4 linked regions of the Drosophila melanogaster genome follow. The protein of the gene in region 1 interacts with the protein of each later gene in a pairwise test. Each region holds a gene or a part of one and is shown on either strand. Other genes may lie near its edges.

Region 1 (3,300 bases):
TCGGCTATGACCGCTGAGTACAGGTGTCCAATGTGAGGAGCTATTTGTTAAAAATTATTTCTTTTTATTATCCGTAATATTGACTGATTTGGTCTAAAATGCTTACCTGCATTTACATAGAAAATTGGAGTTGTCACATAGTGCGAACTGTTGTAGCGAGTTCCCAAATATCTGAGGCACTTAATTCTTCTAATAAGCATCACTTTAAAAGCTATTTTAATATACAAATAAGTAAAAAAAAAAAACGTCTAAACAATTTGCCGGTTGATTTTATAACATTGAACAGCTGTGCCACCAGTGCTGCCCATCACTCGGCTAACAGTGCACGTAACAGTCTCATTTGACATAGATGCACACTTAACAGCGTAGACGCAAAATTTAACGGCTTAAAATTTTAAATTAAATTCAAAAGAATAAATCAAATATTTCCATGCAAATTAAACTTATTTAAATATATTTATTTAATACTAACAAAATTATCGTGAAACATTTTAATTTTTAGTTATAAAACCATTATCTTTTAATAGGAAACTTATTAAACCGAAATCGAAACGTAACAAAATATAGAAAAGATCAGTTGATCCCCGAATTCGGTGCTAGATTTTGGCTGCCTGCGCCGGAAAACTTTCCGGCCATCTTGCGCGGACCCCAGCGCACCTGCTGGCGGTGGGTCATTCGACGAGACCTCTGTGCCTTCTGCTTGGCCTCCACTGCAGCACAGGCCGCTTTGTAGGCCGCCTGCTTGGTCTTCTCGAAGTCCGTCTTGGCCTCGGTCATCTGGCGGGTTAGATTCTCCACCCGGTGCTTGGCAGCCTCCAGGAGCTGCGTCTTCTCGGCCAGCTCCTGCTGCGCTCCACTGGCCACGTTCTCGATATTGGCCAGATTGGACGTGGCGGCTATCACAAGGTTCTTCAGCTGATTGAGTTGCGATTGGGCCTCGTGGGCAGCCGATGCGGCGGCATTGGCATTCGCTTGGGTGTTTTGTAGGGACGAGGTCACCTCAGTGACAACCGCATCCGCCTCGGTCATCTCCTGCTGCAGCTGTTCAACAATCTGCTGCTTTCCGGCCAGTGCCGCCTCCGCCGCACGAGCGGATTGAGCTGCCTTGGCGGCCAGTTCGTTTTTGACCTGGGATGCAGCCGCCTCGGCAGCTGCCATCTGCGAATCGCTGGCTGCCTTGGCCTCCTGGGCGGCTTTTTGGGCAATGTTGGAGGCCTTCTGCTTGGGATCTCCGCGACCAAAGACGCCGGTTCCGCTGCTGCAGCCAACCCCTTTCTTCGAATTAGGTTCCCCACAGCCTTCGGATCCGCCTCCCAAACCGCCCGCCCCACCAGTTCCATCGATGCTGGCATCGCCGTACAATGCGGACAGGCATTGCTTGTCATTCGTTTCGGCGGGTCGGTAGTGGTAGCTCTCCAGTCGAGGGAACGCACGCAGCAGTAGCAGGACGAGGAGCAGCGCTTTCGTGCCAGGCATATTCCGATCAAATATTTGGAAACACTCGACGCTGACTCCATTCGGAAAGCCTGGTTTGACTGAAAAATTACCTTCTCTTAGCAAAAACAATTCGGAAAAACTACCTCGGATATTTGCCTTTCATTAATTTCATTGTTTAGATGGATACAACATATATGTATATCCTACATCCAGCAGCTATGAATAGTATTATGCATCTATTTAATTACATGCTCGCAGTATATTTTTTATTATATTGATATAATATATTATTTTTAAAAAAGTAGCATTATAAACTTTACAAAAATATATATATATGTATAAAATTTAAGTGATAATGGCTAATATTGATCGTTTCTAGCTTGAAGAGGATGCAGAGCTAATCGCCCTTTGCATCCTTTGAGCCTTTTGCTTGGCCTCCACTGCCGCACAAGCCGCCTTATAGGCAGCCTTCTTGGTCTTGTCGTAATCCTGCCTGGCAGCGACCACTTGTCTGGAGATGCTCTCCACTCTCCGATTGGCCGCCTCCAACAGCTGCCCCTTCTCATCCATCTCCAATTGGGCACCATTAGCGAAAGTTTCAATGTTGGTCATTTGAGCGGTGGCCTCAGCCAAAAGGACTTTCAGTTGGTCCAGCTGAATCTTGGCTTCGGAAAACGCTAACATGGCAGATTCTGCGTTCACCTGTGTGCTGTGGAGTGAGTTCTTAACCTCGTCCACAACGGCCACCGCCTCCTTTTCCTCCAGCTCCAGTTGCTCCATGATCTGTTGCTTGCCAGCAAGAGCTGCCTCCGCGGCTCGAGCAGCTTGGACCGCCTTCTCGGCCAGATCCTGTTTCACTTGGAGTGAGGCTGCCTCTCCGGCGGCCATCTGGGCGTCATTGGCCGCCTTGGCGTCCTGGGCGGCCTTAATTGCAATGCTGGAAGCCTTGCTCTTGGCATTCTTTTGGCTAAGGCCACAAGAATTTTGCACAGCAGAACTTGTTTCACACCCTTCCGATGATCCTCCACTTGCAGTCTGCTTCTTTTCGCTTGCTGGCTCATACAATCGAGCCACAACAGGATCCTTGTTCAATGGCGATGAGAAAACAAATTATAGACTAGGACTTTACCCACAGATTCGAGGGTTAGGACTCACCGAGTCGCTTATCATGATTATGTGGCTCCGCGAAACGCAAGCAAGGCTAAGCAGGAATAAGCACATTGCCTGGCAATAGAGCATAATCTCGATTTCCGGATTTGACAGGCATGGCATCTCCATCCGATTGACAGTCGGAAAAATGCTCGAGACAACGGAAAATGCGGATAGACACTCAGATCATGTGGCTAATAATTGTGTTATCCTCGCTCCCGGCATCCGCTACTGGCAATCATTATCGAACCCGCCGAAAGCCAATGCAGACGGAGGACTCAGACCTGATGAGGAGTTTCGCTGGTGGGCTCGGTGGCGGTGGTCCTGGTGATGGAACCGTGTGCGACATGTCAGGGGAGGATAGCAACTCGCCGGCAAAGAAGACGCGAAACCATACTAATGCCAAACAGCGATCCTCCGGAATCGCCGTCCAGGCGGCCAACGAGGCTAAAAAGGCAAACGATGATATGAAAAACGCCGTTAAGGAGGCCGCTGATAAAATCAAAGGTGAATACGCAGACAAGGCAAACGCTGCGGCCAAAGCTGCCGAAGCAGTGCTGTTCGGAAAGAGTCAGGTGCTGGAGCAATTGGAAGCGGAGGTCAGGGAGGCCGAAATGGTGGTGCAGGAGGAAAACCAGGAGCTGATCACCGCCGAGTCGAATGCACAGCTTGCCGCCAAGACGCACCAATTGGTCCAGCAGGAGCTCAAGACAC
Region 2 (7,681 bases), on another chromosome or scaffold:
GCTTTTGCAGAAGCTTCACCATCTGCTCTTCGAGATCGACGTGCTCGAGGGTCAACTGGAGTGCCCGGAGACAGGTCGTGTGTTTCCCATCAGCGATGGTATACCAAACATGCTCCTTAACGAGGACGAGGTCTAGATTACACCCATGTGCTTTTTGTACCATAATCCCCATAATCCCCTTTCTCCAGACGCGCATTAATATTAAATAAGTTTGTTAGTTTTAAAGTTTGTTTATTTACGAGTTACTAAAAACAATTGGAGCTTGGATGGAATGTGACTTCGTTTTTTTTTTTTTTTTTTTTTTTTTTTGTTGAGTCTACGTACTCGTGTGGTATTTGGTAGGTGTTTAAGGATAAGAGCAAAAAACACTACGACATATATAAATCGTAAGTCTGAACATGTGGAGGGTGGTGCTTGGCTACTAAGATTCATCTTCACTTCTTTGGCACTCTGGGGGAGGTTCCAGATGAGATACTCCCGCCTAGTTGCATTTGATGTTGGCGCTCTTGTTGCTGCCTTGGGCGTAGATGCTGCCCTTCGCCAATCCGGACTGGGGTCCTTTGCAGAGTTCCGATTTCCCACCCCTTGGCTTATAGGTGCGATCTGTGAGAAGACTAGCATTAGGTCCTTGAGTGATCTGCTTTTGAAGAAGCTTCGTGTTGGGTCCATTCCAGGTGACATAATCGGCTCTGAAAATAATTTTAATTATATTCATAGATGAGTCTTTGTTTTTATTACTTCGACATTAAGTTGAACTACTTACAGCAAAAGATTTTCATCTGCACCCTTGCTTAGCTGGGAATTGGGTCCCAAACTGGCCATTCGTTCGATAATAGATTGAAATTCAGCTGATTCCGAATTATGCGAATTTCCAAGGGAGTGCTGACGATGTCTGTTGAGAATTGGTTAAATTTGTATAAAAGTTCTTTTTATATTAAACTAAAATATTTCAAAGATTTAATATTTTATATTGAGCTTAAGGCATGCCGAAAGAATATAGTTAACAGGTTCAAAAATAATATCTCAAAAACGGATTTCCCGATACTATCCATGCGAACTCCTTGAAAAACTCATGCGCAAAACGATTGATTTTACTTAGCGAAACGGTAAAAAAACGGTTATCGGAACGGTTTTTGGTTTTAGCGGGCATACTTCAGTGAATCGGTTTTGGTGCGAGCACGACTTTCGAAAGCTGGCCTCCTCGCGATGGATGAGGAGTTGGACTGGGCCGACGAGACCAGCGATGAGGACGTCATTGATGCGGAGTAGGAGGAGTAGGAGCTAGCATTTGAGGAGCCATGCAGGTAGCCGTCGATGCTGTAGTTATTGGTATCGCTCTGGTGGCCAAAATGGTTATGGCCGCTCTTGGCCAAAATGCTCTTGGTGGTCAGGCGTTCGTAGCTTTGCTGGAAGATGCGGGGTGATTGTGGGGGTGAGGCATATGAATGCGATGAGGAAGCACTAGAGATGGATGACAGATGGGTCTCCAGCTTCATCTCCTCCGCTGTGGGCGTTGGTGTGGGCGTAGCCTGTGCCAAAATGATCTGGGTGGTGAACGTTGATGGAGTGGTGACATTGATCGATGGAAGAATGTGGCGCTTGTGCGGCGGCTTCGGCTTGGATGAAGTGGTGGGCTCCACCACGGCGGGCAGGCTGGATGATCAAGTGGCGCGAGGCAAGCGGATAGTGTTTTTTTGGTTCGGGGATTTAGTCAGAGGCGGAGGCAGCAAAGAAAGTTCACATAGAAAATAGGCAGTCGATTAAAAAACGGATAAAGCAGCGAGCCAAAGAGAGTAACTTGATTGAGTGGGTGGAAAAAGCGGGTGCCAACGACCTTGATCGGTTGGTTTTATTCGCGTGAGCGGGAAAACATAAAGTCAAGGGCTACCTGTCTTTTTCGTTGGCACCATCGATCTGCTCGGTTCCTGTGGTTTTCTTAAGATCCAGGTGCTTGGGATTCATGGGAGCCTGCTTTTGCTCCCTCTGCTCGTCCTCGTCCTGGACTATTTGTAGGATTTGCGTAGCCCTATCCTCTGCATAGTTGACGGATTCCAAAGCCATTAGGATAATGCGCTCGGCAATCTGTGGGTACTTCTCCTTAAGCAAAGTTTGCACTGTAAGTAAAAGATGTTTATTTAAGTGTTTTACGTGTACAATTAAAACCTACTTTTTGTCTTCTCTTCCTCTGTGTATTCCTTGGGTCTCAGCGGTATATGTACACCACTCTGATCCCCTCCAGCCTCCTGATCTTGATTTAGGTCCGGCGGGCGATTGTTGGGTCTGTGTGGCTGTTGCATATCTCTTTTTGTGTAGCCCAAAGAAATCAACTTTTCCGATGCGAACTGCACGTTGTTATCCGCATTTGCCAGGATATCCAGAAGCAGCTCTTCGTCCGCCTTGGGGAATATATTCTTCATGTATCTATGGTGGAATTTGGATATTATTTATCATCGAAGAAAATTTAAGTTAAAAGAATATTATGTTACAACATCGAGAATTTAAAAATTTGTCACTTAATATGTTACCTTGGATTATATAAAATAAATGTTTCAACAAAACATTAACAAAACACCAATTTAAAACCAACGAATTATATTAAAAGATACAGAACTTTTTATAAGTAACCCAAGCCTAATAACCCTTAATAGATTGTTACAAGCAAAAAATAAAAAACTGTAAAGTAAGAGATTAAATCCGATCTTTTGGTTAACACAGATTTTAAAGCAATCCAACAATGCTTTGAAATGTCCCTCGATTTTGAACCCCATCGAACCTCAGCTTCATCTTGGGCGACGAGTGCGGCCTGGGCGAGCTGCGCCACAGGGGCGATCCGTGCAGAGCCGGCGGAACAGCCGAGCTGGGAGGCAGAACAGCCTGATGGCCACTTGGACCACCAGGACCGCTCTGCACGCTCACGAGACTACCGAAGCGTCCGCCGGGCAGGGGACTGGCCGTGCGCGACGTGCGCCGACTAGCTACCGTGTCCGGCCGACGTGCCGGTGGCGTCATGTAGAAGGCGGAGCCGCTGTGGAAGAGGTGCCGCTGCGAAGGGGGCGTCACAAAGGGTCCGGGCATGGTAACCGGGTGCTTCTCCACCTGCAGCGCACTGACGACAACCGCCTCGCTATTGTAGTAGCTGGAGTGGTGGGTTAGTAAGCGTGGGATTAGCGTTTAGTCGTGGGGTTAGACAGGTGCAGTAAGCAGCAGAATTAGGCGGCGTGTGAGAAGACATAGATGTAAGTACGCAGATTAGTACGCCAGCTGAGCTGGCACGAGCGCTTAGCTGAAGTCGGGACCAATTTCTTACCGCTTGAGCAGGAGACGTATATGGTTCTCGCCAGCGGTGGGGAACATGTTCTGGATTTTGGTCACCACGGCATCCGTTTCCGCTTGCGTGGTGAACGAGGTCTCCTGAATGGTGGAGCGCCGCGAGAGATTCGGTCCCACGCGAGCTCGTTGAAAGGGCAGAGGTGAAGACATTTCCTGCGGGTTAGGTGGAAAATTAATTAATAAAAAATTCATTCAAACCAATTATCGATACTTAAACGCAAAGTAAGCAAGGGGCTTCGGATACTACTCATGGAATTTCATGTTTGTTAACTTAAAAAACATACAACTATTTCCTGAAGGTCTCAGCCTATTTGAATTATCTATTATTAGCCTCTTACAAGTATCTACAATCAGGATATCTTGTTGTAATCACTATATCAGAAGGTAATTGCGTATTTTTTGTGCGAAAGAACGACCTACTTATGCACATTTTTGATGATGCTCACAGATTTTTCGATGCGCACCCACACGTGATTTGCCTATTGATTGCCAACTATGGCTGTAGTTTCTCTATCAAAATCAATCTTCAGGTCATTTCATACTCACCAAGTGTCCCCTGGAGGAGGCCGACAACAATGGACTGGTAGAGATGTTGTGCAGCGTGGGTTGCTGGCGCTCCTGGAAGGCCCGAATTGCAGTCAAGTTGTTGCTGGGATGGACGTGGTACGGCGAGCTGTTGTGCGACGTCTGCGGCTGACTGACCAACTGCTGAAAAGTACAAGGGTTCCCATTCGAATAAAAAATCAATAAAATGCAGGGTAGGAAGCGGAGGTTACCTGCAAGGCTATCGACTCCGTGGAACAGCGTTCGTTCTGCAACTGCCTGTAACTGCGGCCGCGCGGATCCTCCAGCTGCATGGCCTTCGTCAGATAGTTTATGTAATAGCTGGAACGGGAAGAAGGGCAGCCGAATGGAAGATGAGCTTCTATCAAATCAAAGGTCAGCAAATGACCTCCCACCCAGGGCCATTCGAAAGCTCTTGGATTCAGGCCAAGGGTGGAGGCACATCCTAAAGCCGGCCGGTTGGTGGTGGACTGGATTGGAGTGGATTGGTTTGGGATTCTCCCCACATGTTGATGGTCCCTTGGGAGGACGGACAGGTAAAGGGTGAAGGAACCGCCTAAACCAAGGCACGTGCCAAGTAGCTGCCAAAAGGCGGACGCACAGTCGTCATTTTCATCGTCGTTTGACAGGCCATCTCTGCTCTGATTTTCGGAATGGAGAGGGTGGATGTCGACGAGGACGTCGTGAGGATGGAAAGCTCGTCTTCGGTTGAGTGGCCTCTTGAATTAACGTATGACAACGTATGTTGCTTAATTGCACATGGCTTTTTAAGCATAAGGGGTTAAGTTATATGTATATATGTATGATAGGCTAAGGAGATGTTAAAGACCCCGCTGGCATCCGACGACGCGGAAGTGACACAATTTATGCCGCTGAAACGAGGCCAATTGGAGTGGCTAAGGAGCACTAAGCTAAGTAGCCCATAGGGAACCACATGGTACCCACACGCTGGGTCTTTAGAGTTCAGTAAAATTGTTTTGCGTATCAGTAATAATAATTTAAATTTAAATTAAAACATTTTCTTCAAACATAAAACATTTTGAAAATTTTATGTTAGAAAGTTCTTTCGATTATAAGCTGAAGAAAAGTTAGCCAATATCCAATCCAAGCTTGTACTTCGTTCCATTGTGTGTTAAATGAATAATTTAAATTAGTACCGAGCTTGCGTCCTAAGAGTTTAAATACCAAAGGTGTTTCAAAACTAAGTTCTGCAAGCCACCGAACTAACGAATAATTTCCTTATCACTATAAGGCCAAACATGGCAAACACCACCTCAACCGGACGCCTACCACCCAATCATTTTAAAGTAAGCGACTTACGCCCCCAAGGCCCCCTACATACACCCACAACCACACACCCAACCATAATCCTTCGCCCACCGAAAGAGCCACCCCAAGCGACGTTGGCACGCAAATTTATCAGTTGCCCCCGTGGCAACCTATCAAATGGAACCCCTATATCCCACAACTGGCCACCACATCTCCCAGTACAGTCCGCATTTCACGACATTGTGGTTAATGGATGCATAAATATTTATGACGTCGGGCTGTGCACATGCAACTCACCAATTTCCAGTTGCTTGATCGTATTTGCAGTCCCAGCCGGGCGGCATTTTCTGATAGCCACCGGATTCGCTCATTTTCACCGCTCACGAATAGATACAGATGCAGATACAGTAACAATTGCACTTGCAGATGCGAGGCGCTTCGATGCCCAGTTAAACCGAACGACCGTCGTTTTATTATTTTCGTTTTCTGCCTGAATGTTTATGGACGTTTAAAGTCGCATTCGCAGCTTGTTTGCCGACTGTCTGCAACCCCGAAAAGTTGGCAGGCAGGAGTGCCCTTGCCACTTATCCTGCGCGGAGCTTTGTAGTTGCCTTTGTCGTCGGATGTTTCAGATTTGGGGGTTGTAACCACCCTCGATGGCAACCTCTCCTCGGCAGCAGAGTTATTTTTGTTTACAAGGCACTGCCTGCCGGGAAAAAGGACCGCAACACACAGATACACACGCTCACACACACACAGTTCGATGTGGCGTGCCGTTAGTAAGCAAGCCAGCCAGGCTTTAGCTACCCGGAAAGGAATCGTTTTTGGGGAATCCTGGAGTCGCGACGCTATAAACAACCTCGCGAGCCAAGCTTTGAGAGTCAACTGAGGAAATCAGTGGCGGGCGTTAAAGCTTCAGATGCTGTGCGAATAGTCGTTAAAAAAGCTGGTATCCAGTGTTGGAATTTGCCCGTCGAAAGCTGTGCGCCAAACTTCGATTCAGCTTTCAAACAGGCACACAATTCGAATTTAGCTCCCCCGTCAATTTTCCAAAAATTTCACCTTTGATTTACGCATTTAGTTCAGCTACAACTACACATCGGCAAAATGGCCGAAATCTTGGCACGCTTGACGCGTGTTTCGGAAAACTACCTCCAAGAACTGGAGGAGGAGCCGGAGCCACAAGGACCGCCCAAACTAACCAAGGCTCAGAAGAAGGCCGCCAAGAAAGAGGCCAAGCGACTGGCTATGATCGAGGAGAAGCGGCTCATCATGCGGGTGGGTTCAACTAACTTTCGCAGAGTTTTTATTAAGGATGAACCTAAGCAAATCCTTAATATTATTAATTTTTATAATAAAAATAATATATTAAGACTATATTAAAATTGTAAACGCATCATTTCTAATGTTGCGCCATGATCCTCTCAGGATGCCCTGATGCGCGAGCTGGAGATGGGCAAGCATATGGAGGAGAAAGGCAACGAGGAGTGGCACGAGATGTGCCGCGAAATCAAGATCAAGGAGCTAAACGAGGAGATGAGGGCTTGGGGCGAGCGCTCGGAACGTAACATTCAGGCCAAGAACGACCACATCAAGATGCTTCTGGACGACATGGCGCAGACGCAGGATCAGCACGTGCGTTGCTACAGCAAAACGGTGGAGCTGATTGATCACATTCGCGACTGCTTCCACGTGATGTTGGGCGGGGTGAAGAGCATGTATGACCAGCAGGCTGACGAGATGCTGAGGGATTACTATGAAGAGGTGCGCCGGCGCACCGAAGAGGTGGAAGCCATGAAAACGAACTCCGAGAACATAATCCATGCCACCAACATCACCACCCGGGATCAGCTGAAGGAGGATTACACTATCTACCTGGAGCAGCGCGACGATCGCGTGAATACGGAGATTGAGAACAGATTTAAGATTCGAGATCAGATTGTCCGCCGGATGACGCACATGCAGCAGCAACTGAACGACTTCGTGGAGTCGCTGAGGAGCACCGAACTGGATGCCCACAAGTACGAGAAGATCCACTGGCTGACGGAGCGGCAGGCGGCTTTCATGGAGGAGTCACGCAAGCTAAACGCCGAGGAGTCCAAGTACATCAACATGCAGGCGGAACTGCAGCGCGAAATGGTTCGCATGGATGCGGAGAACAACTCCACGCTCAACGATCTTCGCCTGGAGTTCCAGTACTTCACCAACGTGCGCAAGAAGATTGAGCTCAACCAGGAGATGGATCGCGAGATCACGCACGAGAAGTTGCGCATCCTGACCGGCGAGTGCTACGAGTTGACCAAGGTGAACCTTTGTCCCAAGCCCTATTACCCATTTCTAAATTGAAATATTATTCCAGCAAATGGAGAAGCACGTGAAAAGTGGGGAATTACTCTTGGCCCTGTCGATCACTTGCAGGAAACTGCAAACCGAATCGGAAAAGGTAATCCTCGGCGGCGAGGTATTCGACGAAACCGAGGTGGATGTCGATGAATACTTCAAGCTGCAGACTCTCAAC
Region 3 (3,274 bases), on another chromosome or scaffold:
GTGGTGAGGGTGTTTTCGGCTTTGAGCCGGAGGAATTCGAGAATTGGGGATGGAGGACGGAGAACGGAGAATGAAGGATGCTAACCCATATTTTGGTGGCTTGCGGTTGCTGCGGCAATTTCGGTTTTCGCAGGCTTCAGGATGTACGTACTACGTACGAGTACATATCCAAACTCATTGAAGCCTGCGGCTGGAGCCCGACAATTTCATCGCAGATGAAAGAGGCTTCCATGCTCATTTATATGCAGGCCCAATCCGCAGCCTCGACATATAGCAATAATTGAACGCTTAGCTTGAATGGCCGCAAAAAACCGCTCGCTAATGGAGCATTTAAATATGCGAATGCCAGTGCTTGGCATGCTAATCCATAAAACTGTAATCTCACATGTTATATGAATAGTTTTGAAGTCAGCTAAAATATGTACTTTGCAAGTAGTAACTAGAACTCATAATGGATTGATAAATGAGATACCCTTAAGATTGCTAAAGTTAATTACTTTTGAAAGCTATAAACCCATAAATGAAAAACAATTATAACATGTAGATTCTAAACGGTTTAATGCATCACAAGTAGGGGTTGCATGGAAAATAAATGCCAGTCCATGAGCCAAGCTCATGGGGCAATATCTTCCGCAGGGTTTACAATCCATGGATTTACTTCTTCAGCAGCAGAGGAGCGGCAGCAGCGGCGACATAGGGACGAGCCACATAGGGCGAGCTGTAGGCCAGGGGCGAGGTGTAGGCGGCGGCGTAGGGCGTGGCAAATCGGGTGTAGGGAGCGGTGTAGGCGGCAGCCAGAGGAGCAGCAATGGGAGCGGTATAGGCGGCGGCAACTGGAGCGGCATAGGAAGCTGGGAAGGCGGCGCTGTGGGCCACCGAGTGGGCGGTGTAGCTGGAGGCGTAGGGAGCCACGTAGGCGGCACTGCCCACCACAGCCGGAGCGGTGTAGGCCAGAGGAGCGGCGGCCAGAGGAGCCAAAATTCCAGGCTTGGCAGCAGCCACAGCCACAACAGCGAAGAAGATAGCAGCCTAAATGGTGGAAGTTTCAATGTAAGTGTTAAGTGAAGTAATATTAAAAGAATTACTACAAAAATTAATATTTAAAATGATTTAAGTTCTGCAAATGGAACTCATTCTTATAAGGTTACTTAAAATGGTTTTCTCAGATATCTACTATCTTTTGCAATATTTTGTTTAAATATCAGTTATACTTTTTATATTAGTTTATAAAGGCTTCCTTCTCCTTCAAAACTTCGTTCTAAATAGTTTTCCTGTACTTACGAATTTGAACATGTTGATGTATTGGTTTTCTTTTTGGATTGTCACTTGGTAGATGGCCAATTGGTTTGTGATGTCCAACAGCCAGCTGCACGACTCTTTTATAGCCACTTACACTTTTCGAGCTATTTACCAATGCAGATCACGCTTTTAGATCAGCCATCGATGGTTGCCAAGTCAACGACTTTCGATTGACGTTGCGCATGCGCAATTCTTGGCTACTGTTTTTGAATTTGTTTTTTTTTTTTCTTTCAATTTTTTCGTTTTAGTTTTCGTGGTCTAGACCTGACCATGTCTTATTTTTGGTGCGTGCCTGAACGTCCGTTACTCGGCGATTTGTCCCTGACCTTGACGACTGCAATGGGCTTACAATTTAATGGGTCTTACGGGTTTAACCGCCAACGAAAAGGTAGCTGAAGTTCGAGTGATTTATGAGTGTTATGCCGGGCCGATATCAGGAAATTATCAAGTCATTCCGCTCCATTACCATTCGCCTGTTTGCCTATTTTAATAGACCACAATAAATCCGGCTAATCACTGTCTAATTATCCGCTCTCACCGCTGGAAGAACCGAAATTAATTAATAAATGTCACAAATTGCGGGCAAAGAGCTTAGAACTCACTAATTAGAAATATCGAGTGCAGGCCGCCGCCGTGTGTGGTAAAGCGTACGTCACAAGGATGCACCACCACAAAGGCCACTCCACCCAACTCCACCCAACTTCACCCACTTCTTGCAGGCTGTTCGGGAACACATATCCTGATGCTCCTGCTGCGCCAGGCTCACACTTGAAAAAGTGTTGAAGCGTGAATTTTGCTTAAAAATGCCAATTACGCGATTTCAGCAGCGCAATGGATTGGTGGATGGTGGCTATAAAGCACCGCTCAAAATGGGCGGTGAATTTCAGGGGGTGTGGCAACATACACACAGAAAAAATGATGTGCAATTACATATGTATATTATTCTAATATATAAAAACTATATTACTATTATATTATTTGAGGCCACTTTCCTAAAAATTTTGTTAAATAAACAATATTTGATTTGTTGTATATATAAATATATTTTGCTGCAAGAGTTGGTTGGTCTTTTCGACGACTACAGCAAATTGTTGCCGTTCTCCTTCGGGTTTGCTTTTCAGCCGCTTTCGATGATGATGTTGCAGGCGAAGGATTTGGCGCGCATCCTGCCACTTCCTTGCCTCCTTTTGTGCAGCTCAAGTGTTTGCCATGTGCCTGTGCATACGAGCCAGCCTATTGCCATCCGTGGATGTGCTCCCTCGTGGATGTGGAGGAGTAAGGGGATGTGGATGTGGTGTCTACTAAATGCACAATCATGCAGCTGGCAGCGGGGCATGTATTGAGAACAGCAAACGGCAACCGCAGGCGGCAAACATATTTGTTTTGACACTTGACTTCCCTCCTGGCCACCAGGCTGCTTTCATTGTCAAGTTTGCGGCGAGGACTTGCTACTGAAATTATTATATTGGTTAATCCGCCTAAAAGCTTTGATGGCACATCCGCCCCCCAAATGGCAGCCATCTCGAGTGCCCACAACTTTCGAGTGGCCCGAACGGGGAGCATATCAAAGAGCAGTCCCCTGGGAGAAGGCAAGAGCACCCGGAGTCGGAGCTGGGGATAATGTATATGTATCCACGAGTGCCGGCAAGTAATTAAAAAGCAAGAAATTTCCACAAAAAGTCGCGCACAAAAATCGCTCCGTTTGACATGGACAAAGCTTGGGACGAGGACTTTGGAACCAAAAGAAGTGAGCAACGCATCAAGCTCGACTTCAAGGATATCCATAACTTATGAACTAAATTAACTAAACATATATGTATTTTTTAATTAAAAGTTACTACTAAAATTTTATGTCTATACTAAACTAAAACGTTCAACCAAAATAAGTAAAAAGTTTAAAATTAAAACATTACTCAGCTATACCAACTCTAATAGGCTGTTAAAAAATTTTTTATAATTACTCAGAATTATTATA
Region 4 (3,186 bases), on another chromosome or scaffold:
ATACCATTGCACCTTCGGATTTAAGGAGTTCACATTCGATGCGAAGAAACTGGGAGAAAACCGTACCACAGCACTTAATATTTATGTGGAACTAAACACGTATCTCATGTCTAATGAGGTCTAAGTATTTCACAACTTATATTAGCTTTCGTTTCTAATATTTTTCATTACAGGATCCCATCCCCATGACCTGGAAAGTGCAAGGGGAACATAGGCTTTTCAAGTTGCACATGAAGCATCCAAAAATCACTTTTAACTCGGATCCAGTTTCAATTTACTTTGATTGAGTTTGATTGCCAAGGAACGAAGCTGTAGACTGATGACTAGTTTGATATGCCAGCTGAGATAGATAACTTTAAATGGCCGAGCCAAATAATTAGTTGTACGTTTTCCCTGGTTATGGAAAAGATTCAACCTTACCGGCGGATTTCAATGAGAAGTTTCCAGGAGTTCTTCAATGCAAGCTCCTCTAGAAGCTGCCAAGGATTGACAGTACTATTAGTTACAAAATAAAGGCTTAGTTTTATTGAGACTGTGTGTCAACTTAATTCAGGAGTACAACTCAAATTCAGTGCGCTCAGCATCCGTCATCGGTTCGACGACTTGAAGGCAGGCATTAGCGAACTCCACGAAGAGTGGCTCCTGCATGGCGGCCATCATGGCCGACTGGGCATTGATGGCCACATCAATCTGCTGGAGCAGCGAACGCAGGTGTGGATTGTGGAGCAAATTACGCAGTTCCTGGCAGTTTTCTGTACGGAAACCATCATACTATGAGAAATGTGTATAATTGCGAATTTAAACACCTACCTAGTTGCTGGAGCTTCTCCGCGGCAACTGTGTCGTCGGTGGGGAAGGGCACATGAAGCGTAGGTTCCTCCTGGTAGCCAACTTCAGTCTTTTTCAAGTCGGACTCCCTTGTCGCACATTGGGGCGAATCCCTGTGTGTCTTATAACAAGCCACAGAGCAGCTACATTTTGCGACATTTATTATCTCCGTAGTGAACTGTTCGAATAGCTACTTACTAGGGTGCCGAGCATTTGCTGCACTTGTATTTTCTCAAGTTATCTACGCAAATAATGCATTTTTCCATCTCATCAAATTCAATGTCGCGTGCAAAATAAAACTCAGCTGTGCGAGTTTTATAGCCTCCAGCTTTTGCCTCTATCGAGGGTTCCAAGCCGTTTCTGCTCCACTGGAACGGCGTTATGTTTTTGGAGGTAAACAATCAAAAAGTTAAATGCAAAACGCAAGCAGAATAATATTAAAATGCGCATAAGATCGCGGGGCTGCATGTTAATTTAGTGAGAAAACAAAACTAGTGGAGTTCTACGACGAGTGTGTTGAAACGAATCCCATAGCTTAGTTAGATTGTTCTGTAGCTGCCAGCCTTCGTCAACAGATGAATTCTATCTTTGGCGCCATTACTTTTAATTTGAATTTGAACAATTTGCTGGAACAAATAAAATGTTCATCATCAACATTCAATTTTGCTCATCATAAATAAGTAAATACTTTATATAGTCAGAAAGCTTCAATCTACTGTATCTGTATCTCACTGACTTACATATTGAAAACGTTTAAAGATTATCCACAGGTATTTTAGTTATTAACCATACGATTAGCGGAGTGTTTGGTCAGATTGAGGAAGACATAGAGTCGTCCTGCCCTTTTCCGGTTACGAATAGCCTTATTTGATTGAATGTATCCTGTGTATCCGGTCTGTTTGCTTTGGCCAGTCTCATTTATGGGCCATCCCGGGCACGTCATCTTCCGTGAGGCTTCCGAGCAAACAAACGAGGAACGCTTATCATTGCCCTCCCATTTTTCCGCCCCAAAGCCTCCCAATCCTTTCCCCCCGCCGCCGATGGCAATGCGCAGTCTGAAGCCACCTGGCGAATTAACCGAGAATTCGACAAGCGCGAGGGGAGCAATCAAATGACGGTCGGCGTGTCCGCAAATTGTAAACATATCCTGCACACGGAACGTACTGAAACGGAACGGTCCTTCCCGGGAAGGAGTCGTTCAGATCCGCTCCAGCTCCAAAGACAAGTACAGTACAACCAGAAGTAAAAATAAGTACAACAGTGAGGCTCGATTGGTTAACCGAAGCATGGAATGCCCTTTGTTATTAAGCTTTCTTTCTAATGAAAACGTGTTATGTGTATGCACAATATATAGTCCTAAAAAGTAGGTTTAGTTGCAAGAGAAACATCTCATTTATATGGCCATATTCAGCTATGAAATATACACATATAGATGTGTGTCATTAAGATTTGATAATAATGATAGTCCTATAGGTAATGTCATTGGGTTATAACTTCTTACAGTCCTGTATACGATAACTACACCCATTGAGATCCTTCGTGTCCTGCTCCTAGTCTGAGCCGTAATAACCTCTGCGAGGGTATGGCAAACAGCGAAAAACTTTTGGTGGCAATAAATGACTTCAATGACTGACTGACTGACCGGATGGGGTGGTCTAGGTGCATGGCTATACTCGTATATGAATCGTTTTTTTTCTTCTTGTTTCTGTTGCCATATTTTGGGGGACTTGTAGCCGGGACTGGTTGTTGTTATTTTCAATCGTTTTTGCTTTGTTTTCTGAGCGCTACCAATTGGATTGCACAAAGAAAAACGAGTGGTACAAAAGAAAGCAAAGGATGCAGGCTAACAAAGAGTTTGGGGATGTGGAAGGTCTGGGGAATCGGGCCGGGTAACATGATGTGGCGCCTCTGCCGCTTCCGCTGTTCGTGAGGCACAAGCGCGATAATTGCCAGCGTTATCCGCTCGGCCTGCCAGTCAAATAGGCGCAGCAGCAGAGGCGCTGGCAAGCAGCGGCTATCGGCGGTGGCAGGGATTTCGGGGGGGCAGGAAGACCCTTCGTGTGACTCGCCTACTTTTGATTTACAACATTCGTGCAACATCAGCAGCAGTGTATCGCCAAAAGGAAAAGGGGCGACCAATGCAAACAGCAAGAAGAAAAGCGAGACACACGCCACCAAATGGGGCGAAAGTTTCTCGCGGGGTGCAGTAGTGGCATTTTCCGAGGGCAGGTGTCGTTCGTTAGGAGTTTTCAGCGTTTTTCATTCCCAGCTTTTCCCAGTTACCAAATACCAACTACCAACTACCAACTACCAGTTACCAGCTAGCCGCCAGCGAAAAAGCCAAAAGCGATATTAATA

Evidence for each region.
Region 2: the proteins of CG14840 (region 1) and CG10508 interact in a two-hybrid assay, tested with the Drosophila melanogaster proteins (one large-scale study listed by BioGRID).
Region 3: the proteins of CG14840 (region 1) and CG13678 interact in a two-hybrid assay, tested with the Drosophila melanogaster proteins (one large-scale study listed by BioGRID).
Region 4: the proteins of CG14840 (region 1) and CG8204 interact in a two-hybrid assay, tested with the Drosophila melanogaster proteins (one large-scale study listed by BioGRID).

What each region holds. Positions count from the first base shown.
Region 1 is NT_033777.3:14,259,708-14,263,007, forward strand, and holds CG14840 (uncharacterized protein), read right to left. Parts: upstream 1,507-3,300; 5' UTR 1,477-1,506; coding exon 574-1,476; 3' UTR 501-573; downstream 1-500. Other genes in the region: MetRS-m (Methionyl-tRNA synthetase, mitochondrial), read right to left, coding at 1-40, 107-200; CG14841 (uncharacterized protein), read right to left, coding at 1,813-2,520, 2,593-2,709; CG14839 (uncharacterized protein), read left to right, coding at 2,754-3,300.
Region 2 is NT_037436.4:21,208,584-21,216,264, reverse strand, and holds CG10508 (uncharacterized protein), read right to left. Parts: upstream 6,051-7,681; 5' UTR 5,535-6,050; coding exon 5,461-5,534; intron 4,216-5,460; coding exon 4,107-4,215; intron 4,039-4,106; coding exon 3,877-4,038; intron 3,484-3,876; coding exon 3,308-3,483; intron 3,137-3,307; coding exon 2,774-3,136; intron 2,504-2,773; exon of another isoform or gene 2,422-2,503; coding exon 2,168-2,421; intron 2,115-2,167; coding exon 1,889-2,114; intron 1,654-1,888; coding exon 1,153-1,653; coding exon of another isoform or gene 1,140-1,152; exon of another isoform or gene 951-1,139; intron 893-950; coding exon 764-892; intron 690-763; coding exon 482-689; 3' UTR 214-481; downstream 1-213. Other genes in the region: Trmt112 (tRNA methyltransferase subunit 11-2), read left to right, coding at 1-136; CG10510 (uncharacterized protein), read left to right, coding at 6,271-6,441, 6,592-7,467, 7,523-7,681.
Region 3 is NT_037436.4:8,220,222-8,223,495, reverse strand, and holds CG13678 (uncharacterized protein), read right to left. Parts: upstream 1,356-3,274; 5' UTR 1,294-1,355; coding exon 1,282-1,293; intron 1,030-1,281; coding exon 655-1,029; 3' UTR 543-654; downstream 1-542.
Region 4 is NT_033778.4:15,572,640-15,575,825, forward strand, and holds CG8204 (uncharacterized protein), read right to left. Parts: upstream 1,353-3,186; 5' UTR 1,095-1,352; coding exon 1,027-1,094; intron 972-1,026; coding exon 811-971; intron 753-810; coding exon 550-752; 3' UTR 505-549; downstream 1-504. Other genes in the region: CG30466 (uncharacterized protein), read left to right, coding at 1-118, 174-287.